Macaca fascicularis: one gene and its partners. The protein of the gene in region 6 purifies or fractionates together with the protein of the main gene of each other region. This does not show direct contact. Links are inferred from orthologs where the notes say so. Each region holds a gene or a part of one and is shown on either strand. Other genes may lie near its edges.

Region 1 (4,260 bases), on a different chromosome or scaffold from region 6:
GAAGTTCTGGAATAGGCATGCACCTTGCTTTACCTTACTGGGATGCCTGGTAATTTCCGCTTGCTTCATTCGGGCTTCTGCTGGGTGATATATCTGTAATCCCAGGAGAGCCCTGCCTACTAGGCAGGATATTGTGGTCTTTTAAAAGACTTTCAAAGTTTCAAATTCTCAGCAGAATGTTCTGAGCTGCCTTATTGAAAACCAAATCTCAAAGAGGGAGATGGGCCAGAATGAAAGCCTAAATTTATACACACACACACCCGTACATGTGCACAAGCACACACAGCAGTGCACCCCCATACAAGTTCCCTACAATGCAAATCTTTGTAAAAAATGAGGACAGGCGCGGTGCTGTAATCCCAGCACTTCGGGAGGCCGAGGTGGGCAGGTCACCTGAGGCCAGGAGTTTGAAACCAGCCTGGCCAACATGGTGAAACTCCATCTCTACTAAAAATACAAAAATTAGCTGGGTGTGGTGGCGCGTGCTTATAATCCCAGCTACTTGGGAGGCTGAGACATAAGAATCACTTGAGCCTGGGAGGGCGAGGTTGCAGTGAGCAGAGATCGCGCCACTGCATTCCAGCCAGTGAGTCTGTCTCGGGGGGAAAAAAAAAATGTCCTGCAAGTCCTAACGTTTTTCTTCCAGACTTGAGGGCCTATTTAATCCCTCCGAAATGGTTAGCTGCTTCTTTTAAGAATAACTTTTTAAAAGAAGAAGAAAGAACTGAAGTTCCGAATAATGGGCCATATTTTGGAATCACAAGTCATTAATACACAAATAGACGAGAATGTACTCCTATGTTAAAAGACATGCCTCTTCTTGCAAATACACAGCCATTTATCTTGTAGATCAGTTTATAACCGCCCAGGTCTCATTCTTTGCTAGTCTGGACCTGAGAATGCATTAAGATCAGTTATGAAAATGCAGAAGTTAATTCAACTTCCTCCTATGTGCTACACTGCTCAGAAAAAAGTATACAGCAATCACCCAAAATAAGACTCTGGGCTGATTCATTTGAATATCTAAAATGCAAAGAAACTGGTAAGAGAGGCTAAGACAAGAAAGCAGCAAGTCAGCCTAAAATATAAGCAACTGCAGCCCCTGGCAGGAAACAGTACTGCTCACTACACATATTACTTCAAGGAAAGTAGTGCTTTGTTTTACAGATAAAATCTGTTGCCTTATAAAGGAGACAGGACATACTATATATTCAATTTAAATGGTAGTTAATACTTTTTAATGCCTCCAAGCCACAAGTACATTATGACCACTTAAAAATTCCCCTCTACCAATCTTTTCCCATCTGTGGATCTCCAAGTAGTTTCCTATTACTAGCTCCCAGTTCACCAGAAACAGTCTGCTCTTATTTCCTCAACTGTGAAACCCAGATGTGAAGCCCCATGCTTATAGATAGGGAAATGAGGCAAGGGGATTGGCCATAGGCCACCAAAAATTAGAACCCAAAACGCTTAGCTCATGTTTTAAATATATTAGAAAAGCAAAGCAGCTTTGGAGGAGGAGGTTGTCTTCTACTGATTCTTGTGTTTGGCAGAGAAGGCTGCCTTGGAAATACGACCTAAGCCCATCTTTTAAAAAGTCCAACTGTAAAGAGAGGTTATCTAAGAACTTTATAGATTCTGGAGGCTTTGAAGTGTGTAACTGGGCCAAGGCTACCACGGAAGAAATCACAGACCAAGGGTCTTGATGTAAGAATTTACAAGATAACCAGATAAAGGCTAGTGGGCGAGGAGAGAGCATTAGAACCTCAAAGGAGAGATAAGGAACGGGTGTGGAGCAAGGGACAATTAGCTTTGCTTGAAAACTATGTAACAAAATGGCCCAGTGTCTCTCACAGAAGGGTTCGGGAAAGGGAAACCAGAGATCGCGTTTTTCCGGCTCTAAGACTGGGTTGGCTTTCAGTCTTCTCTTCTGCTCCTTTTAGAGCAGACGGCAGCGGGGAACGAGAATGCTGGTGGCGACGTGGGCCTGCATCTCCTTTCCTCCTCCAGTCCTGGGAATTCCTGAAAACTCCTTCCAACCCAATTCCAAACAGGCTCTCTCTGGGTTCAGAACAATGCCAGGGAATTTCACGCAGGGAAGGGGTCCCCTTCTCGCCCTAGCGGGCAGGGGGCTCCTCCGGCGCGAGTTCCGGCCCCAGCGTCCCCACGTCCCACAGGTCTCCTGCCCTTTGGCACGCACAGCCCTCACCACTCGCTGCTTCCGCATCCCTCCTCTGAGCCTCTCCCCACGCATCTCTGCCCCTCGCCCGGCCGCGCCCAATCGCCTCCCACCTCTACCCCGCTGGGGCAGCCCCTACACCCTGCCAGGCACCCCATTTCTCTCCTCCAGGTCTGGGGGACTGGACGACACTGGGGATTAGCTGGGGTCAACTCTGCCTCCCCCGCCACCCCTGGCCCCGGGCGCGCGCTCACCCGGCGGCCGCGTTCTCGAACTTGAGCGCGAGCGTCTCCTCGATGATGCGGTTGTTCACCTCCAGCAGGATCATGGCGGCGGCTGCCCCGAGCAGGGGAAGGAGAAACAAGGGCCGGTGAGGGTGGGTAAGGTAGGGAAGGACGGAGGAAGCGGCCCTGCTGCCCCCTGAAGGGACCTGGGTGGGGTAGGAGGTTAGGGGAGAAGGGGAGAGGGGCCGGGATGGAGGGAAGGGTAAGACGCACGCGCTGGCCCACGCACGCAGACTGTGGAGACACCCACCCACCCAACCAACCAACCGACCTGGCCCCCAAAGCCTGAACCCGCCTGCCGAGCCGCCGCCGCCGCCGCCACTGCCGCTTCACCGACAAGTCCAGTCCCCGCCCAGCCCCCGGCTCTAGCCGGCCACTTCCGCTCTCACACCCACTTCCGCTCGCCGCCTGGACGCGCGGCCCCGCGGCGCCATTTCCGCTTCAACCCCTCGTGAACGCGAGCGCAGGCGCGCCGGAGGAAACGGAGACTGCGCTTGCGTATGTCTGATGCCGCCACCCCACCCTCTACTTTCTCACAGACCCCCTTACGTCTACAGCCTACCAGTGCGTCCCCCGCGGAGCTGTCATTCCCCGAGGCTTGCCTGACTGTCCAGGTTCTCACTCCCGCTTGTCCCAGAGATCCAACTCCGTTCTTCCGGTCTTGTCATTTCAGAGACCTCGCAAGAAGCTCGCCCTTGTAGTCTCCCAGCGGGCTTCTTTGCTCCCAGCTTGTTTGCTGGGCGTGCCTCTTTTTCTTTCCAGGTATAGCTGTCCAGCGACACCATCAGACATTCATTTCTCCAACAAACATTTTCATGGGCTCTTGCTCTATACTGGGGATGTAGTGGTAAATGAAATAGATGAGGCCCTGCCCTCGTGGAACTTATAGTCTGGTAGAGGAAACAGACAATAAAATTCTCAATTGTGTAAGGAGGTAGAGATGCATGGGGAGAGGATCAGAGTAGGGATGCGGAAGCAGCGAGTGGTCAGGAGTGTACGTACCAAAAGGCAGGAGACCTGTGGGACGTGGGAGTAGCTGGGGCCGGAACTTGCGCCGGAGGAACCCCCTTGCCCGCTGGGGCGAGAAGAGGACACTTTCCTTGCGTGAAATTCCCTGTATTGTTAAAAGGACAATTAAGGAAAGGAATGAGAGGTCACCTGGGTGAATAGGCAACTTAGATGGGCCTCCCTGTGTTTCTGTCATGCCTCCAATTCTACGTCCAGGTGTCCAGAACGCATTTTTTTCTGCTTTTGAAACCTTCCAGTACCTCTGGCAGAGATACACCCTCCTTGTTACCTGAGTGCGGAATCTTAACTCCTCTTTGTGCTACATCCGCACCATCTGCCTTAGTGCCTTGTTTTGTGTTTTCCCTCCTCCGGGGAGAATGTAATAAACTTAGCTGAGTCCCTTCCACATACAAGGAAATAATTTATTTTCTGTTACGTGTTTGGGGTGGGGATAAAAAAATGAACAAGAAACTAGCTCCTATCATTAAGGCACAGATAGTCCTTTGAAACATTACTTAACGGGCTATGGATGAACTTCAGGATATTGCTGATCCCCCAAAATTATACGCTAATTTAATTAATTAATTATTTTTTTTTTGAGACAGAGTCTTGCACTGTTGCCCGGGCTGGAGTGCAATGGCATGATCTCGGCTCACCGCAACCTCTGCCTCCCCGGTTCAAGTGATTCTCCTGCCTCAGCCTCCCAGGTGGCTGGAATTACAGGTGCCTGCCACCACGCCCGTTTAATTTTTTTGTATTTTTAGTAGAGATGGGGTTTCACTGTGTTGG
Region 2 (3,500 bases), on a different chromosome or scaffold from region 6:
ATTTGTTGAATATAAATGAATTAGTGTGATTAATACTGTTATTTAGCTCACAGCACAGGCCTCCATTCCAATTCAGGTGTTTTTCTTTTTTTTTTTTTTTTTCCTTTTGAAACAAGAGTTTTGCTCTTGTTGCCCAGGGTGGAGTGCAATGGCATGATCTCAGCTCACTGCAACCTCCACCTCCCAGGTCAGCTCACTGCAACCTCCACCTCCTAGGTTCAAGCGATTCTCCTGCCTCAATCTCCCAAGTAGCTGGGATTACAGGCATGTGCCACCACACCTGGCTAATTTTTTGTATTTTTAGTAGAGACGGGGTTTCTCCACGTTGTTCAGGCTGGTCTCGAACTCCTGAACTCAGGTGATCCATCCACTTCGACCTCTCAAAGTGCTGGGATTAGAGGTGTGAGCCACCACGCCTGGCCTTTGCAGTGTAATTTTTGTTTTTTTTTTTTGAGATGGAGTCTCACTCTGTCGCCCAGGCTGGAGTGCAGTGGTGCAATCTTGGCTCACTGCAACCTCCACCCACTGTGTTCAAGCAATTCTCCTGTCTCAGCCTCCTGAGTAGCTGGGATCACAGGTGCCCACCACCATGCCTAGCTAATTTTTGTATTTTTAGTAGAGATGGGGTTTTGCCATGTTTGCCAGGCTGGTCTCGAACTCCTGACCTTAAGTGATCCACTTGCCCTGGCCTCCCAAAGTTCTGGGATTACAAGTGTGAGCCACTGCGCCCAGCCCTGTGATTTTCTTTTATGTTATTTTTCTTCTCTCTCAGGTTGTCTTCTTCCTTGTTCCTTTTCCTCAGAATCAAGTAGAGACTGTGGTGACTCACCATATTTATAAAGTTTACTGAGCTTTCAAATGGTGTTGAAAACAAAATTAAGTTAAAAAAAGGTCAAGTCAAACAGTCTGGCAGAGAAATGGGAATTGGATCAGTACCAAATTGATAATTATAATAATGGTCTTAGAAACCATGAATGGAATTCAGTTCAGACCCTTGCAGGGTACAGGGAAACCGTGTCTAATATAATACAAATAATACTGTTGGAAGAACATCTCAGAAAGCGTCAGAAGAGTCTCAGACAGTGTCTGAAAAATATTGCAGCTTTCTGAAATAAAACTCAGAAAAGCAGGAATAGACATAAGTAATGTTACATAGTATACTTCAGATTTAAGATTGAGGTATTGCTAAAAATGAAGATCTTGAAGAATGAATAAAGGAAGTAGATTTAGACGGGGAAGAGGTCAAAATATTTGTTGTTTTCTTCCAGGTTGATAACAGAAAGGATGGGCATGTGGCATTCTAGACATAACAGCATTAGATTTGTTTGAAAGAACTGATAAACAGTGTCCAGAATTAAGCACATTTCCTCCATTTTCTCAAAAGAGTTTCCTGGAGAAGTCAGAAGAAATAATACAATTTCCTATTAAATGCAACATATAACCACTATCTTGAAAGGTCTAGACCACAATATCTACCAAAGTACAAGGACAATTTGAGAGAGAAGACTGAGCTAAGAATTTCCCTGATTTGACCATTTTAGAAGACTGTTAGGCATTTCATGCCAAAATTTGAAAATAATGGGTTTAGACTTACTCTCTCTGGGTGCAGGTCCTTTGAATTGACTTCTAATAGGTAACAGTGCCATGTTTCCGATGAGTTTGGTGTCAGGATCCATGAGAGAAGAGTGGTAAGCCTGTAATGGCAAGCCCAGGAAGAACACAGAAGCAGAAAGAGAGCAAATGTCACTGTGGCAAACAACCTTTCCTTAAAGGAAAAAAAGAGTAACCCACCCAAGATTAATCAGGGGAGGGAGAAGGGATAGCAGCATTGAGGTGCTAGAGCTGGTTCTTTCTGGCTCAAGAAAACCAACTGTTAAATTATGAGGCATTTTTCAAGCTGGTTGTTAAACACAGCTGTTCTCAAAAATCAAATTATATAAACTTACAATTAAGTAAATGATGTTGGCCGGCGCAGTGGCTCACGCCTGTAATCCCAGCACTTTGGGAGGCTGAGGCAGGCGGATTGCCTGAGGTCAGGAGTTCGCGACCAGCCTGGGCAACACAGTGAAACCCCATCTCTACTAAAATACAAAAAATTAGCCGGGCGTGGCAGTGTGCGCCTGTAGTCCCAGCTACTTGGGACGCTAAGCTGGAGAATCACTTGAACCCAGGAGGCGAAGGTTGCAGTGAACCAAGATCATCCCACTGCACTCCAGCCTGGGCAACAGAGCGAGACTCTGTCTCAAAAAAAAAAAAGTAAATGATGTTAAAACCAATGATGCTTAAATATTCATCACTACTTCTTTTTTTTTTTTTTTTGAGAAGGAGTCTCACCATGTTGCCTAAGATGGTCTCGAACTCCTAAGCTCAAGTGATATGCCTGCCTCGGCCTCCCAAAGGGCTGGGACTACAGGCAAGAGCCACCTCACCCAGCTACTGCCTACATTTTATTTTTTTGAGACGGAGTTTTGCTCTTGTTGCCCAGGCTGGAGTGCAATGACGTGACCTTGGCCCACTGCAACCTCTGCCTCCCGGGTTCAAGCGATTCTCCTGCCTCAGCCTCCTGAGTAGCTGTGATTACAGGGATGTGCCACCACGCCCAGCTAATTTTGTAGTTTTGGTAGAGAAGGGGTTTCTCCATTTTGGCCAGGCTGGTGTTGAACTCCCGGCCTCAGGTGATCCGCCCGCCTCGGCCTCCCAAAGTGTTGGGATTACAGGCGTGAGCCACTGCACTGCACTTGGCCTACTTCCTAAATTTTTTTTTTTTTTTTTGAGACGGAGTCTCGCCCTGTCACCCAGGCTGAAGTGCAGTGGCGCGATCTCTGTTCACTGAAACCTCCGCCTCCTGGGTTCAAGCGATTCTCCCGCCCAGCTTCTTGAGTAGCTGGGATTAGAGGTGCGAGCCACCACGCCCAGCTAATTTTTGTATTTTTAGTAGAGACAGGGTTTCACCATGTTGGTCAGGCTGGTCTCAAACTCCTGACCCCATGATCCGCCCACCTCAGCCTCCCAAAGTGCTGGGATTACAGGCATGAGCCACCGCGCCCGGCAATAACCTAATTTTTAAAAATTACATTTTCCTATTGTCATGTTCTTAAAGTTATTATTACGAAATACTAAATAATGGGGTGCTGCTGTGCATCTCTTCCAATTCTATGTTTGGTGACATCACATTGGTATCTGGTCAAAGTATTTCCACCACAGAAAGACAAACATCATATAAATCAGGGTACCCAGCCCCCAGCTAAACCAAGACCCAAGCACTATCTTTTCAGCTCTGCCACTTCCTGGCGTTATGCTTTGACCAAGGCATCATTCTTCTTCTCTTAGCTTGTTTCCAAATTTGTAAAATGAGAATATATATATTCCCTTCAGTGGGTAAGTGTGAGTTAAAGGAAGGGAGAAAAAAATCACATTTATGAGAGCATTCTGTATGCTGATTCTTAGTTCTGCTTTTTACAAGATGCCTGGCTTTTTATAAGACAACATGGGTCCCATTC
Region 3 (3,500 bases), on a different chromosome or scaffold from region 6:
CACTTGAACCCGGGAGGTGGAGGTTGCAGTGAGCCAAGATTGTACCACTGCACTCCAGCCTGGGCAACAGAGTGAGACTCTGTCTCAAAAATAAAATAAAAAAAAAATAAAGGCCAGGCACATTGGCTCACGCCTGTAATCCCAACACTTTGGGAGGCTGAAGTGGGCGGACTGCCTGAGGTCAGGATTTGAAGACAACCATGGCTAACATGGTGAAACCCCATCTCTACTAAAAATACAAAAATTAGCCGGGCATGGTGGTGTACACCTGTAATCCCAGCTACTCGCGAGGCTGAGGCAGGAGAAAGGCTTCAACCCAGGAGGCGGAGATTGCAGTGAGCAGAGATCGCGCCACTGCACTCCAGGCTGGGCAACAGAAGCGAAACTCTGTCTCAAAATAAATAAATAAAAATTAAAAAGATATGAAAGGCCGGGCGCGGTGGCTCAAGCCTGTAATCCCAGCACTTTGGGAGGCCCAGACGGGTGGATCACGAGGTCAGGAGATCGAGACCATCCTGGTGAACACAGTGAAACCCCATCTCTACTAAAACTACAAAAAAAAACTAGCCGGGCGAGGTGGCGGGCGCCTGTAGTCCCAGCTACTCGGGAGGCTGAGGCAGGAGAATGGCGTGAACCCGGGAGGCGGAGCTTGCAGTGAGCTGAGATCAGGCCACTGCACTCCAGCCTGGGTGACAGAGCGAGACTCCGTCTCAAAAAAAAAAAAAAAAAGATATGAAAGACATTTTATTGTAAATTGTAATAAATGCTTTGTAGGCGGAAGTGAAGGCCTAAGAGGCTTTCCTTAATTAAGCTGAGATCTGGAGGATGACCTAGGCAAAGAAAGAGGAAAAAAGCCTACAAATAGATGGTCAAGCATGTGTAAAGCCCTGAGGTGGGAAAGAATTTGGCTGATATAAGGACTGACCAGTACATCTAGAAGCTAATCCCTCTACTAAGAATGTCCTTATTCTAGCCGAGTGTGGGGCTCATACCTGTAATCCCAGCACTTTGGGAGGCTGAGGCTGGTGGATCACAAGGTCAGGAGATCAGGACCACCCTGGCTAACATGTGAAACCCTGTCTCTACTAAAAATACAAAAATTAGCCAGCCGTGGTGGCGGGCGCCTGTAGTCCCAGCTACTTGGGAGGCTGAGGCAGGAGAATGGCATGAACCCAGGAGGCAGAGCTTGCAGTGAGCCGAGATCGTGCCACTGCAGTCCAGCCTGGGTGACAGAGCAAGAGTCTGTCTCAAAAAAAAAAAAAAAAGAATGTCCTTACTCTACTTTTTCTCATTATAAAATCCTCCTAATCCCATTTCACTTTCAAAACCAGTTTCTTCTGCAAATATAGATTACTTGTAAATCTAAATATTTCAACATTTTATCTTTATATCATAGTTATTTTCTGTATATCTGCTATCCAGTTGAGCTGTTTGAGGGTAGAGACAGTGTTAATCATCTTTGAATTCCCAGTTAGCTCAGTGCCTGGCAAACAGTATATACATTTGTTGGCCTAATAGATTGAAGACAATCATGCATTCACTGGTATGTCTCTAGATCACTTTCTCAACCTCAGCACTTTTGATATTTGAGACTCAATAATTCTTTGTAGTGCATTGTAGTATGTTTATTGGATATCTGTCCACTCAGTGCCTGCAGTTCGCCTCCCCGCCAAGTCATGACAGTTGAAAATGTCTCAGCATTCCTCTGGTGTGACCCCAGGTTAAAAAAGAAAGAAATGAAATATCTCGACATTGCCAAATGTACCTTGGGAGGCAAAATTGCCTCCTGTTGAAAACCATGACTGCACCTTGGAAGGCGTCTCGAAGGCCTAGTTTGTTCTGTTCACAGTGGTGTCTTAAGAGCCTTGCACCCTCAGTGCTACCTGGCTTCATGGGAGCTGGAATAGGGGATCAGTGGGTTTGGCATGACAGATTTTGATCTTCCCTTCCCTTTGTGTTATTTCCTATAGACTGCCACTCTCCGCCCCTACCTGAGTGCCGTGCGGGCCACATTGCAGGCTGCCCTCTGCCTGGAGAACTTCTCCTCCCAGGTTGTGGAACGACACAACAAGCCGGAAGTGGAAGTCAGGTAGGGAAGGACAAGTCAAGGTGGGGATGAGGGGTGTGGCACGCAGAGATGGCTGCTGTCAAGAAGGTGCCGTGAACTTATGTCCCAGAGTAGTCAGGACAGCTGCAGTTGACATTTTGTCTTGCTGCCAGCTGAATGGTGATTCCCAATTTGGAGTTAAGAAAATAGGGTCAGGCCGGGCGCGGTGGCTCAAGCCTGTAACCCTAGCACTTTGGGAGGCCGAGACGGGCGGATCACAAGGTCAGGAGATCGAGACCATCCTGGCGAACCCGGTGAAACCCCGTCTCTACTAAAAAATACAAAAAACTAGCCGGGCGAGGTGGCGGGCGCCTGTAGTCCCAGCTACTCGGGAGGCTGAGGCAGGAGAATGGCGTGAACCCGGGAGGCGGAGCTTGCAGTGAGCTGAGATCCGGCCACTGCACTCCAGCCTGGGTGACAGAGCGAGACCCCGTCTCAAAAAAAAAAAAAAAAAAAAAAGGAAAATAGGGTCAGTGGGTTGGCAGGACAGAACCCAGGGGAAAAGACAAGATTGCTTGACACAAGGTATGACTTCTCAGAGCTGGGCTGTTGATGAAGTCTTTCCTGTGGCATTGTTGAAAACACTGGTAGTTTAAGGAATAGTCAGATAATTTAGTTATTTGAGATGCCATCTCCATACTTTTCTAATGTAATGATCAGGGATTTTTTTGTACCTACCAGTCTAGACACTCTGACACCCTAATCCAAATACTCCACATTTTGAATGATTTTCTCTTATCTAGTTTCCATTTCATAAATATCTTTTTCCCCTTTAAAATTTAATCTGGTGCAATGGCTGGTGCAAGCCATTGCCTGGTGCAGTGGCTCACCCCTTTAATCTGAGCACTTGAGGAGGCTGAAGTGGGCAGATCGCTTGAGTCTAGGAGTTCAAGACCAGCCTGGACAACATGGCAAGACTCCATCTCTACCAAAAAAATATGCAAAAATAGTTGGGCTTGGTGCCACATGCCTGTAGTCCCAGCTTCTTGGGAGGCTGAGGCGGGAGGATCTCTTGAGCCTGGGAGGTAGAGGTTGCAGTGAGCCAACATCGTGACAGTGCACTCCAGCCTGGGTGAGACCCTGTCTCAAAAAATAAGTAAAAGAGGCTGGGCACGGTGGCTTATGCCTGTAATCCCAGCACTTTGGGAGGCTGAGGCAGGCAAATCACGAAGTCAAAAGATCGAGAGCATCCTGGCCAACATGGTGAAACCCTGTCTCTACTAAAAATACAAAAATTAGCTGGGCATGTAGTGCGCGCCTGTAGTCCCAGCTACTCAGGAGGCTGAGGCAGGAGAATTGCTCGAACCCGGGAGGCAGAGTTTGCAGCGAGCAGAGATCGTGCCACTGCACTCCAGCCTGGCGACAGAGCAAGACTTCATCTCAAAAAAAAGTA
Region 4 (3,978 bases), about 150 Mb from region 6:
TCGCGCCACTGCACTCCAGCCTGGGCGACACAGCGAGACTCCGTCTCAAAAAACAAAACAAAACAAACAAACAAAAAAAAAGAAACAGAGTCTCACTCTGTTGCCCAGGCTGGAGTGTGTTGGTGCGATCTCGGCTCACTGCAACCTCCGCCTCCTAGGTTCAAGCGATTCTTCTGCCTCAGCCTCCCGAGTAGCTGGGATTACAGGCATGCGCCACCACTCCTGGCTAATTTTTGTATTTTTTAGTAGAGACGGGGTTTCACTGTCTTAGCCAGGATGATCTCCATCTCCTGAGCTCATGATCCTCCCGCCTCGGCCTCCAAAAGTGCTGGGATTACAGGCGTGAGCCACCGCGACTAGCCGAGGGAAGGTTTTCATCGGTGGCTCTTCCATGTGTCTGGCCGCCTGGGCACGTATTCACTGAAGAGGCAGAGGGTCAGGATGGGGAGACTCCAGGGACCACCTGGCTCAAGACCCGCAATTAGGTGGCTGCAAGGCCAACCCGGTAACTTTAAGAAGTGAAGCCGATTGACGTGAAACAGAAAGGAAAGAAGTTAGCTGGCCGGCCAGCGTCAGCACAGGCAGCCAGTGTCACCCTGCCCGGGGACGGCACCCCGGTTTTGTGGCGACGACACCGAGGGCCGAGGGGGCGGGGCCGGGCTGCCCTGGCCATGCCCGACCGCCTGCGCCCCGCCCAAGGCCTGCACAGTTGGCGCCCCGCGGGTATCAGCGTGAAGGGGGCTCCTCGCCGGCTGGGGACGGGGCTGCGGGGCTCGCCAGCCGCTCACCTGCGTGGGAGCGCAGAGCCCGCAGTACCCGCCGTCCGGGCTCAGAGGACGCGACTCCCCGACCCTGCGCCCGGCAGCCCCCGGTGGCCGTGCGCCCGGCCCAGGCTCGGAGGTCTAGCCCAGCGGCAGCTTAGGCTGCGCGCCTGGCTCCCAGCCTCAGTTTCCCCATTGGTAAAGCGTTGACGGGAGGTTGCGGACGGCTTCTACGGACAGAGCCTTAGGCTCCGACGTCTGCGCCGGTCCTGGCAGCACCCCCACCCCGAAGGGAGGGCGGGACCTGGATCTCGCGACCGCTGCCCCAGGTCCCCGCCCCCGGGCCCTACGGGGCTGAGGTCGGGAGGCCCCGCCCCCCGCCCACGAGGAAGTGGCTGCGGCTCCGGCGCGGAGCCCAGAGCCGGTTCGGCGCGTCGACTGCCCAGAGTCCGCGGCCGGGGCGCGGGAGGTGAGGGCCGCGGGGGCGCCGGGAGGTGGGGGTCGGGGGAGCCATCCGGAGGTGGGGGGACGCGTGGATGTGGGGCGCCGCCTGGGAGTGAGCGGGACGGGAGGGATGAGAGGGGGTGCAAGGAGGGGGCCGGGGGGCGCCTGGAAGTGAGGAGGACGCATGGATGTGGGGCGCCGCCCAATAGGGGCACGGGGATGAGTGAGGGCGCACGGAGAGGAGGGGGCGCGGGGACGGGGGGCTCGCGGAAAGGAGAGGGAACCCTGGGATTGGAGGGGGCGCGGGGGTGGCTACAGGGCCAGGCCGTGGAAACGCGGGCTCCCCGCGCACCGGGCGCCCTCGGGGCGTCCCCAGCCCCCGGTCCCGAGCGTCCGCCTCGTGCCTTCCACCTCGTGCCTTCCGCCCCTGCTCCCGGGCCCGCATCCCCGGCCTTGCCCCGCGGTCGGTCGGTGTAGCCCCGTTACTTCGGGCCGGCGGAGCCCCACGCCCAGTCACTTCCCCTCCATCCCGGAGCCTTCCGGGTTGCAGCCGCCGGGAAATGAGTTGGCGTCCCCGGCCGCCCCGCCCCAGCCCTCCTGGCCGCTCCCGCTGCTCCCAACCGCCTCCCCTGGGCCAGGTCCGAGGGGTCCCGTATAGGGCGGGCCTGGCCGGTGGAGTCCCGGAACGCACCCCTCAGCTGCGGGGCTCCGCGGCCAGGGCAGATCCGGGCAGCCCCTCCCTTTCCGGAGGCGCAGGGAGAGCAGCCAGGCCGCCCAGGGCGGGGCGGGGCTGGGCCGGGCTGCACCCGCGGGCAGAGAAGAGATCAGGAGGGCAAGCCCTGGGGAGTCAGACCTCCCCCTGCCTCCTCTGCCAGTGCAGCCCGGAGGCTACCACCACCCATCCCGGCCGGGCGCGGCGGCTCACACACACAATCCCAGCATTTTGAGAGGCCCAAGCGGGAGGATCGCTTGAGGCCAGGAGTTGGAGGCCAGCATGGACAGCACTGCGAGACCCCTTCTCTATTAAAATAAATAAATAAAATGCAGTCGGGCGCTGTGGCTCATGCCTGTAATCCCAACACTTTGGGAGCCGAGGTGGACGGATCACTTGAGGTCAGGAGTTCGAGACCAGCCTGACCAACATGGTGAAACCCCGTCTCTACTAAAATTATAAAAATTACCCAGGCATGGTGGCGCTCACCTGTAATCCCAGCTACTCAGGAGGCTGAAGCAGGAGAATAGCTTGAACCCAGGAGACAGAGGTTGCCGTGAGCTGAGATCACGCCATTTGCACTCCAGCCTGGGCAACACAGCAAGACTCCAACTCAAAAAAAAAAAAAAAGTTAGCCAGGTATGGTGGTGCATACGTGTAATCCCAGCTACTCGGGAGGATGAGGCAGGAGAATCGCTTGAACTTGCTTTGGCAGTGAGCCAAGATTATATCACTGCACTCCAGCCTGGACAACAGAGGGAGACTCCATCTCTAAATAAATAAATAAATAAAATCTTAGGGATCTAAGTAGGAGTGCCAGCTTCTCCCTTCACTGGCCAGTGACTGGTAAGCTACCCAACCCCTGCCAGCCTCAACTTTCCTTATCTGGAAAATGGGAACCTTAAGGATTGTAAGGCTGCAATGCAATACTGCAGGACACTTGGCAGCGTGTCAGGTGCTGACAGTATAAACGTGTGCTTGTTGCTCACCTTGATCATAGTGTGCCCCCAGGTGAAACTAACTTCCTGGCCTCCAAGATGTGGGGTCAGAGTCCCAAGTTTCGTCATTTAGTAGGAGCCGAGTGACTTTGAGCAAATCATTGCCTTTGTCAGGCTGGGTTTCCTCTGGTACAAACTGAAGGTAAAAAGCAAACAGGCTGGGTGTGGGTGGCTCACGGTTGTAATTCCAGCATTTTGAGAGGCCGAAGCAGGCGGATTACCTGAGGTCAGGAGTTTGAGACCAGCCCGACCAACATGGTGAAACCCCGTCTCTACTAAAAATACAAAATTAGCCGGGCATGGTGGTGGGCAGGAGAATCGCTAGAACCCGGGAGGTGGAGGTTGTGGTGAGCTGAGATCACGGCATTGCACTTCAGTCTGGGGACAGAGTGAGACTCTGTCTCCAAAAAAAAAAAAAAAAAGCAAACAAAAAATGTCCAGGCTTGCTTCAGGGTGTAAAAGAGAGAATGGTGAAAGTTCTGGGTAAAATTGCCTTGCCAGATGCCAGTAAAGTTCGTTTCTTACATATGTCTGTACGTAATCCATTGATAGGTCTTTTTCTTTTTTTGGAGTCCGGTCTCACTGTGTTGCCCAGGCTGCAGTGCCATGGCTTGATCATAACTCACTTTAGTCTCAAACTCCTGGGCTCAAGGGATCCTCCTGAGTAGCTGGGATTACAGGCATGTGCCTCCATGCCCAGCTAATTTTTAAATATTTAGTAGAGATGGGGTTTTGCTGTGTTGTCCAGGCTGGCCTCAAACTCCTGGCCTTAAGTGATCCTCCTGCCTTGGCCTCCCAAAGTGCTGGGGTTACAGGCATGGACCTCCATGCCTGCCTTATAGGTGTTTTTTTTTTTTTTTTTGAGACGGCGGAGTTTCACTCTGTTGCCCAGGCTGGAGTGCAGTGGCATAATCTCAATTTACTGCAACCTCTGCCTCTCGAGTTCGAGTGATTCTCTTACCTCAGCCTCCCAAGCAGCTGGGATTACAGGTGCCTGCTACCATTCCCAGATAATTTTTGTATTTTTAGTAGAGACAGGGTTTTATCATGTTGGGCAGGCTGG
Region 5 (3,500 bases), about 150 Mb from region 6:
TTTCCAGTCCTGCAAGTCAGATTACATGCTCCACCCTTCCACTCCTCCAACATAAATATCTCATGTAGTAAAAGTCAGGTATACCACACTAAGGGCTTCAGATGACACATTAATTCTTCAATGGCAACTTTATGAAGGGCGTCCTGAGACATGTACAGTTAGCTTTTATTTTGTTATTATTTAGAGAGACACTCTCTGTCGCGCAGGCTAGAATGCAGTTCTGCAATCATAGCTCATTACAGCCTTGAACTCCCGAGCTCAAGTGCTCCTCCCAACTCAGCCCCTCAAGCAGATGGGGCCACAGATGTGCACCACCACGCTAGGGTAATTTTTTTTTTATTTTAATTTTTCATAGAGACTGGGTCTCACTATGTTATCCAGGCTGATCTCAAACTCCTGCCTCCAGCAATCCTTCCGCCTCAGCCCCTCAAAGTGCTGAGATAACAGGTGTAAGCCACCACGCCCAGCCAGTCAGCTATTGAATGCATCGTTTCTTGCATGAAGTGAGGTGCTCCTAACTCATCAGCCAGTGTGTTTGCCTGCCATATCTGTGTAATCTCTTTGCCACACTCAAGAGCAAATAACTACATGCACACACGTGTCCCTGCACGCACACATACACACACACGGCCCATTCGAGTGCGAGCTCCTGGCTAAGACCATTTGGTTCATTTTGGTGGCTCTAGTTGCTGACACAGTGCCTGGCCGTCAGCACAGATGTGTGTGGCCACAGCCGTCTCGGAGCTCCGGGGAGCACAGGCAAGGAGAGGGTCCTAGCACAGGTGTTTGCTGCCAAGTCATAGTAACAGAAAGAGCTCTAGGAGCTAAGAGCAGGGAGAAGCTGCTTTAGGCTGCAGTGGCCTCTGGGAAAGTGGACCGTGGGATCATGGGGGTGATCCCTTTAGAGCTGTGCTGGGGGTCGAAGGGCGTGGGCGGAAAGACAGGGCTTTGGGAACCAGTTTGTCATGAGTGGGCGGGGTCTCAGAAGCAGGCGGGAGGAGCCCAGGCTGGAGCTGGAGCCGGAGCCGGAGCCGGAGCCCAGGGCCACCCCTGGCTCAAGAGGCCTGCAAGTTGAGGTCAGAGGCTCCTTTTCAACATAAGTGCCCGTTGATACTGCAGAAGCCCCTGTGAGAATGGGTCCTTTGTTGTCATCTGTGTCTGTAAAGAAGCTAATAGTCTGTTACATCTTGGGATAACAAACGTTCTTGTGTTTAGGGTCTCAACTCTGAAGACGGAGTTCCTGCCGCTCCTGAGTGTGTCATTTGTCTCAGAGAACAGCGTCGTGGCTGCTGTGAGTATTTTTCTTCATTCTCCCTCGGGGTGCACTGTATGTGATGCTCAGACAGGGAACAATGTGTGCTCTGTCACCCTAGCACAAAGCAGAACAGTTTTTTGTTTTTTGGTTTTTGGTTTTTTTTGAGACAGAGTTTCGCTCTTGTCCAGGCTGGAGTGCAGTGGGTGATCTTGACTCACCGCAACCTCTGCCTCCCGGGTTCAAGCGATTCTCCTACCTCAGCCTCCCGAGTAGCCGGGATTACAGGCATGTGCCACCATACCTGGCTAAATTTGTATTTTTAGTAGAGATGGGGTTTCTCCATGTTGGACAGGCCAGTCTCAAACTCCCGTCCTCAGGTGATCTGCCCACCTCGGCCTCCCAAAGTGCGGGCGTGAGCCACCGTGCCTGGCCTTAGAGCTCACTCTTTTTTTTTTTTTTTTTTTTTTGAGACGGAGTCTCGCTCTGTCGCCCAGGCTGGAGTGCAGTGGCCGGATCTCAGCTCACTGCAAGCTCCGCCTCCTGGGTTTACGCCATTCTCCTGCCTCAACCTCCTGAGTAGCTGGGACTACAGGCGCCTGCCACCTTGCCCGGCTAGTTTTTTGTATTTTTTTTTTTAGTAGAGACGGGGTTTCACCGTGTTAGCCAGGATGGTCTCGATCTCCTGACCTTGTGATCCGCCTATCTCGGCCTCCCAAAGTGCTGGGATTACAGGCTTGAGCCACCGCGCCCGGCAAGCTCACTTTTAAGAGTAAGAGCAGGTGGGGCACGATGGCTCACGCCTGTAATCCCAATACTTTGGGAGGCCAAGGCAGGTGGATGACCTGAGGTTGGTAGATTGAGACCAGCCTGGCCAACATGGTGAAACCCTGTCTCTACTAAAAACACAAAAATTAACCAGGGCATGGTAGCGCACATCTATAATCCCAGGTACTTGGGAGGCTGAGGCAGGAAAATCACTTGAACCCGGGAACCAGAGGTTGCAGTGAGCTGAGATCGTGCCACTGCACTCCAGCCTGGGCAACAGAGCAAGACTCAATCTCAAAAAAAAAAAAAAAAAGTAAGAGAGGCCTATCATGGTGAACACTCTGCCAAGGAGCTGGGCGGTGGGCAGTGTGTCCTCCAGGGACTGACTGAGTCTCGTTTCAGGGCCATGACTGCTGCCCAATGCTCTTCAACTACGATGACCGCGGCTGCCTGACCTTCGTCTCCAAGTTAGACATTCCAAAACAGAGCATCCAGCGCAACATGTCTGCCATGGAACGCTTCCGCAACATGGACAAGAGAGCCACGACTGAGGACCGCAACACGGCCTTGGAGACGCTGCACCAGAATAGCATCACGTAGGTGCCGTCTGTAGAAAGGTGGTCAGGTGACAAGGTGCCCTCCTGCCCCTCGCTGTTTCCTTACTGGGTTCCTACAAAAGCTCTATGCCCCGCAGGCCCAGGCATTCCTTCAGGGACAAGTGCAGCAAGAAGTCCGTATCTTCCCGACTGCCAGGCTCTCATTTCCAGCTCGTGATAGGGAGAGAGTCGCCACCACCTGTCATTCTGTCCTTCAAGGTGCAGATTACAAGGCAGCAGCCAGCAGCAGCAGTGCAGACCCTGTTGCAATCCGAGGTGGTGGGGCTTCAGGGTAACCGCTTCCTAGGGCACCCTTTCTCAGCTACTCAAGAATGAAAGGAGACTTTCTTGAATGCTGTGTTCCCATGGTAGTGCACACATAACAGAAAGCGAAGTTACAGCCTGTTTGAAAAGGTAACTGTAACTGTCATTTCAAGTAATGGATACAAAAAGAAGATTCTTTAATTAAAGAAACAATTTCTTAGCATCATGATGACAAAGCTGAGGAGTGTTTCAACTGGGTTTTCGTAGGGTATATGTAATTATGTAAGACAACAGAATTGTGTTTTGTCCAGAAAGTTTGATTTTTATTTATTTATTTATTTATTTATTTTGAGACAGAGTCTCACTCTGTTGCCCATGCTGGAGTGCAATGGCACAATCTCAGCTCACTGCAACCTCCGCCTCCCGGGTTCAAGCAATTCTCCTGCCTCAACCTCCCGAGTAGCTGGGATTACAGGTGTGTGCCACCACACCTGGCTAATTTTTTGTATTTTTACTAGAGACGAGGTTTCACCCTGTTGGCCAGCCTGGTCTCGATCTCCTGACCTCAGGTGATCCGCCCACCTTGACCTCCCAAACTGCTGGGATTACAGGCATGAGCC
Region 6 (3,500 bases):
AACTGTGCAGTAAAGGAAGGAGATGCTTATGGCCACACGTCACACCCACACCTGTGTGTGAATTTTGTGCAATAGCTCTGGATTCTAGGGTGGCAGTGTTCTGCTGCTGCAGTCGCCTCCTGATTCTACAGCGAAGCATGGAGGCAGTATGGAAGGAGCGCTCTGGTAGTTGAGGCTCTGGCAGTGAGGTTCCAGCTGAACAATGCGCCTCTGCATGCTGGTACACTGCACCAGCTACCAAGCTGTTCTCACTGACAGCTGGAACCTCAGAGCATCTAGTTTGGAAGAGGTTAAGCTTTACATCTTCAGCCCACTAAACCCAAGGGGTAAAACAAATCAAGCCCCACACTCATGGGAAGGGGAGAGGAAGGAAAGGAGAAGCAGGGATGACGGCACCGAGGGGAAGTGTCCAGAACACCATCTCTCTCACCCCCAAACCAGCCGGTTTCCCATCTGTTTTTACCTTAATGGCTTTTGCTGTCTCCAGTGACTGCTCAGGAGGGATTCCCACCTCCCTCTCCCTTAGCAGCTGTTGAATGAAATACGTAATATCTCTACCTGCAATCGGGATGTGTTTGATGCAGCTTCCAATAACATAACCTTCTGCCTAGGGAAGAAGAGGAGGCAAAACAGCTGTGTTACTGATTCTGTAGTGGAGAGCAGCCTGGACTCACAAGGTTTCCTGTCTCAGCCTCCCTGTCTGCCCCTCACAGCATTAACAAGCATTTACAGAATCCCCACCCTCTGCAAGCTCGGCACAGAAGGTCTTTCGAAATGACTGCATACGCAATTCCATTTATATTCAAACTTCCAGATTATTCCAATAATCTGACGCTCTCCGAAAGCAACCAAAATGATGTCTTCGTTAGGAATATGAAAAGAAAAAACACACGGGATAGTTCATTTCCAAAAAGTAATGCTGTCTGTGGGAACACTAAACCCAATAGGTTTTTTCCCTAACAAAAAGGAAAAAGTTTTATTTATAAATTGTTAAGCCAACTATAAATCTACTTATGTTTCAAAGTCAGCAATTTGGTTAATACACAGGGCTTAGATTCTAACAACCTGGACTCCAATTCCGGCTCCACATTTGCAAGTTTCACATGCTTCAGCCTCAGCGCATTTGTCCATCATATGGGGCAAACAATACCCTGCAGGGGCCAATAACACAGTTCAGATGAAACTGTGTGTGTCGAGCACATAGCACTGCTTTTGGGGGTGGGGAGCCTCTCATTCCACTGCCTCCCTGAGCCAGTGAAGGTATGTCTGTGAGGGACCAGGAAAGAAGGGTGACCACCACCTGTGCTGTCAATGGCAGGACCGGTGTAAAGTATCCACATGCCCACAGCAATGATGGGTCCAAAGCTCCCTCATCAGCCTTCCTGTGGGCACAGACCTGCCACAGGAGCCACAAGCTTGGACACACATCCAGCTTGTTCCACAGGGGTGAGCAGGATGCTGACCATCAGAGTGGACAACGCCTACCGCTGGATCATCCGGTAAAGACCCTCAGGTTTCACGTTACAGCAATCACAGCCTCTGTGCCACACTCCCCAAGTGAGACAGAAGGGAACAGAAGTGAAACGCTGACTTCATTTTACACACGTATTCATTCTAATAGTTGCATCTAGTCACCAGTAAAGTTGCAAGGACAACTTACTGAATTCCTCCTATGGTTTTTTTCTGATGTACCTAACTTCTAGAAGCAAAAAAGGATTTAGCCTTTCTGTAGAGTCCAAGTATTTGTAAAGTATTTTAAGACGGAGCTAAAAGATATGTACAAATTATTAAAAATCAACTTAAACCCATAAAAATAATATTAGCTTTCTAACACATAAATTATTCAAAATTACCACATTCTATGCATTACACGTAATATTTTCTAAAATACTGTTAAATAAATATCAGCTCATGACAGTGGTAAAAATATTAAAACAAGATACATGTCCAACAACAGAAAAATATATTATGTACTTCTTAAATGTATTTTCACAGAATATTTAACCACAAGAGAAAAAAATTAGGGTTAAATCAATATGCAAAATATAACTTTAGGATTGTATTATATATAGAATCCCAGACCAGACATGAGACATTCCAATTGTGTTTTAAGTGTGTGCGTGTGACATGTGTCTTAGAAAAAGAGCTCAGGCTGGGCACGGTGGCTCACACCTGTAATCCCAGCACTTTGGGAGGCCAAGATGGGCAGATCACCTGAGGTCGGGAGTTTGAGACCAGCCTGACCAACATGCAGAAACCCCGTCTCTACTAAAAATACAAAATTAGCCAGGCATGGTGGCGCATGCCTGTAATCCTAGCTACTCAGGAGGCTGAGGCAGGAGAATCTGGGAGGCAGAGGTTGCAGTGTGCCGGATCGTGCCATTGCACTCCAGCCTGGGCAACAAGAGTGAAACTCCATCTCCAAAAAAAAAAGAAAAAGAGCTTAAAGACTATACAAATAAAGGCATAATACAGGTCTTTGGGTGGCTTTACAGGTAATTTTATTTCTTCAAATTTTTCTATTTTATCTAAATTTCCAATGACAATGTAATTTTTATAACTGGGGGAAAAACCGAACTAAGATACGATAAAAAATCTTTTCAAACAACTTTCTTGGTGGGCCTGGACATGCTGTGAAATGTATTTTCTTCCCTTTTCCTAAATCAGACATAAGAAATAGGCAGAGAACCAAAGGCGGTGCAGGCCAGGGGCCTAGGGGCCTCATCTTGGATCTCAGCAGCGCAGCTCTCTGAGTAAACAGCAGCCTGAGTTCTCAATGAGGGCTCTGCACCCAGGGCACTAACTCTTCTCGAGATCCACGGACAGGAGTGCTGAGACTGGCTTGAAGGAGGCTCAAGTCTAGAGCACACTTCACAGGGCAGGGCAGCCACCTCTCCTCCCCACGGGAAGGACCATGGCCAGGAGTACAAGGCATGGGTGCAGGAGGTTGGCCTTTTTCTCCCTGACTGTAGGCACATGGACCATGAAGCCTTTCCACTGCAGTGATTCCTAACCTTCAAGGAATTAAAGGCATTAGTATTAGTACATCATCCCATCACCTCTCAAAATGAAATGGTGACTATTTTTTCAATTAAATGGTTTTTGAAAATCCTAATTTGCATTTTAAAAGAGCTGTGTGTGTATGTAAAAATATACACATACACACACCCCCATATACACATGCAGAAACACATCTGTAACATAACAGAAGTAACTAGCAATGGTGGTTCCTGAGGAGGAGACCTCACAGGAGAAAGACCAGGATGAGTCTGACTTCCCTCTGAATACCTTCTTCAGACACTTCCGATACATTTTCCAAAAACATGAATTTAAGATAATTCCTTTAAACAGTCCATTGGACCAAAAGAAAAATTCAGAGATCTCTTGAGACCCAAATTAGGAATCACTTATCTAAAACCAAAAAGTGGTATTGCAGAGCCTTCTGCAAGCCAAAATGTACAATCTCCCATTCTTGGCTTTTAAATAACCTTTTCTTTTTG

What was found.
Region 1: the proteins of ACTR3B (region 6) and ARPC2 purify together in Homo sapiens (affinity purification with mass spectrometry; 6 studies listed by BioGRID and IntAct, counting the BioPlex papers as one, with this or other methods). This does not show direct contact. The link is inferred for Macaca fascicularis from reciprocal best matches to the Homo sapiens genes ACTR3B and ARPC2.
Region 2: the proteins of ACTR3B (region 6) and ARPC3 purify together in Homo sapiens (affinity purification with mass spectrometry; 6 studies listed by BioGRID and IntAct, counting the BioPlex papers as one, with this or other methods). This does not show direct contact. The link is inferred for Macaca fascicularis from reciprocal best matches to the Homo sapiens genes ACTR3B and ARPC3.
Region 3: the proteins of ACTR3B (region 6) and ARPC4 purify together in Homo sapiens (affinity purification with mass spectrometry; 5 studies listed by BioGRID and IntAct, counting the BioPlex papers as one, with this or other methods). This does not show direct contact. The link is inferred for Macaca fascicularis from reciprocal best matches to the Homo sapiens genes ACTR3B and ARPC4.
Region 4: the proteins of ACTR3B (region 6) and ARPC1B purify together in Homo sapiens (affinity purification with mass spectrometry; 5 studies listed by BioGRID and IntAct, counting the BioPlex papers as one, with this or other methods). This does not show direct contact. The link is inferred for Macaca fascicularis from reciprocal best matches to the Homo sapiens genes ACTR3B and ARPC1B.
Region 5: the proteins of ACTR3B (region 6) and ARPC1A purify together in Homo sapiens (affinity purification with mass spectrometry; 5 studies listed by BioGRID and IntAct, counting the BioPlex papers as one, with this or other methods). This does not show direct contact. The link is inferred for Macaca fascicularis from reciprocal best matches to the Homo sapiens genes ACTR3B and ARPC1A.

What each region holds. Positions count from the first base shown.
Region 1 is NC_088386.1:114,116,463-114,120,722, reverse strand, and holds the start of ARPC2 (actin-related protein 2/3 complex subunit 2), read right to left. Parts: upstream 2,801-4,260; 5' UTR 2,735-2,800; intron 2,516-2,734; 5' UTR 2,508-2,515; coding exon 2,434-2,507; intron 1-2,433. UniProt on the Homo sapiens protein: Actin-binding component of the Arp2/3 complex, a multiprotein complex that mediates actin polymerization upon stimulation by nucleation-promoting factor (NPF).
Region 2 is NC_088385.1:117,318,444-117,321,943, forward strand, and holds part of ARPC3 (actin-related protein 2/3 complex subunit 3), read right to left. Parts: intron 1,695-3,500; coding exon 1,595-1,694; intron 1-1,594. UniProt on the Homo sapiens protein: Component of the Arp2/3 complex, a multiprotein complex that mediates actin polymerization upon stimulation by nucleation-promoting factor (NPF).
Region 3 is NC_088376.1:148,058,615-148,062,114, forward strand, and holds part of ARPC4 (actin-related protein 2/3 complex subunit 4), read left to right. Parts: intron 1-1,970; coding exon 1,971-2,089; intron 2,090-3,500. UniProt on the Homo sapiens protein: Actin-binding component of the Arp2/3 complex, a multiprotein complex that mediates actin polymerization upon stimulation by nucleation-promoting factor (NPF).
Region 4 is NC_088377.1:47,963,766-47,967,743, forward strand, and holds the start of ARPC1B (actin-related protein 2/3 complex subunit 1B), read left to right. Parts: upstream 1-1,178; 5' UTR 1,179-1,230; intron 1,231-3,978. UniProt on the Homo sapiens protein: Component of the Arp2/3 complex, a multiprotein complex that mediates actin polymerization upon stimulation by nucleation-promoting factor (NPF).
Region 5 is NC_088377.1:47,947,416-47,950,915, forward strand, and holds part of ARPC1A (actin-related protein 2/3 complex subunit 1A), read left to right. Parts: intron 1-1,215; coding exon 1,216-1,291; intron 1,292-2,422; coding exon 2,423-2,616; intron 2,617-3,500. UniProt on the Homo sapiens protein: Probably functions as a component of the Arp2/3 complex which is involved in regulation of actin polymerization and together with an activating nucleation-promoting factor (NPF) mediates the formation of branched actin networks.
Region 6 is NC_088377.1:194,085,913-194,089,412, reverse strand, and holds part of ACTR3B (actin-related protein 3B), read right to left. Parts: intron 608-3,500; coding exon 464-607; intron 1-463. UniProt on the Homo sapiens protein: Plays a role in the organization of the actin cytoskeleton.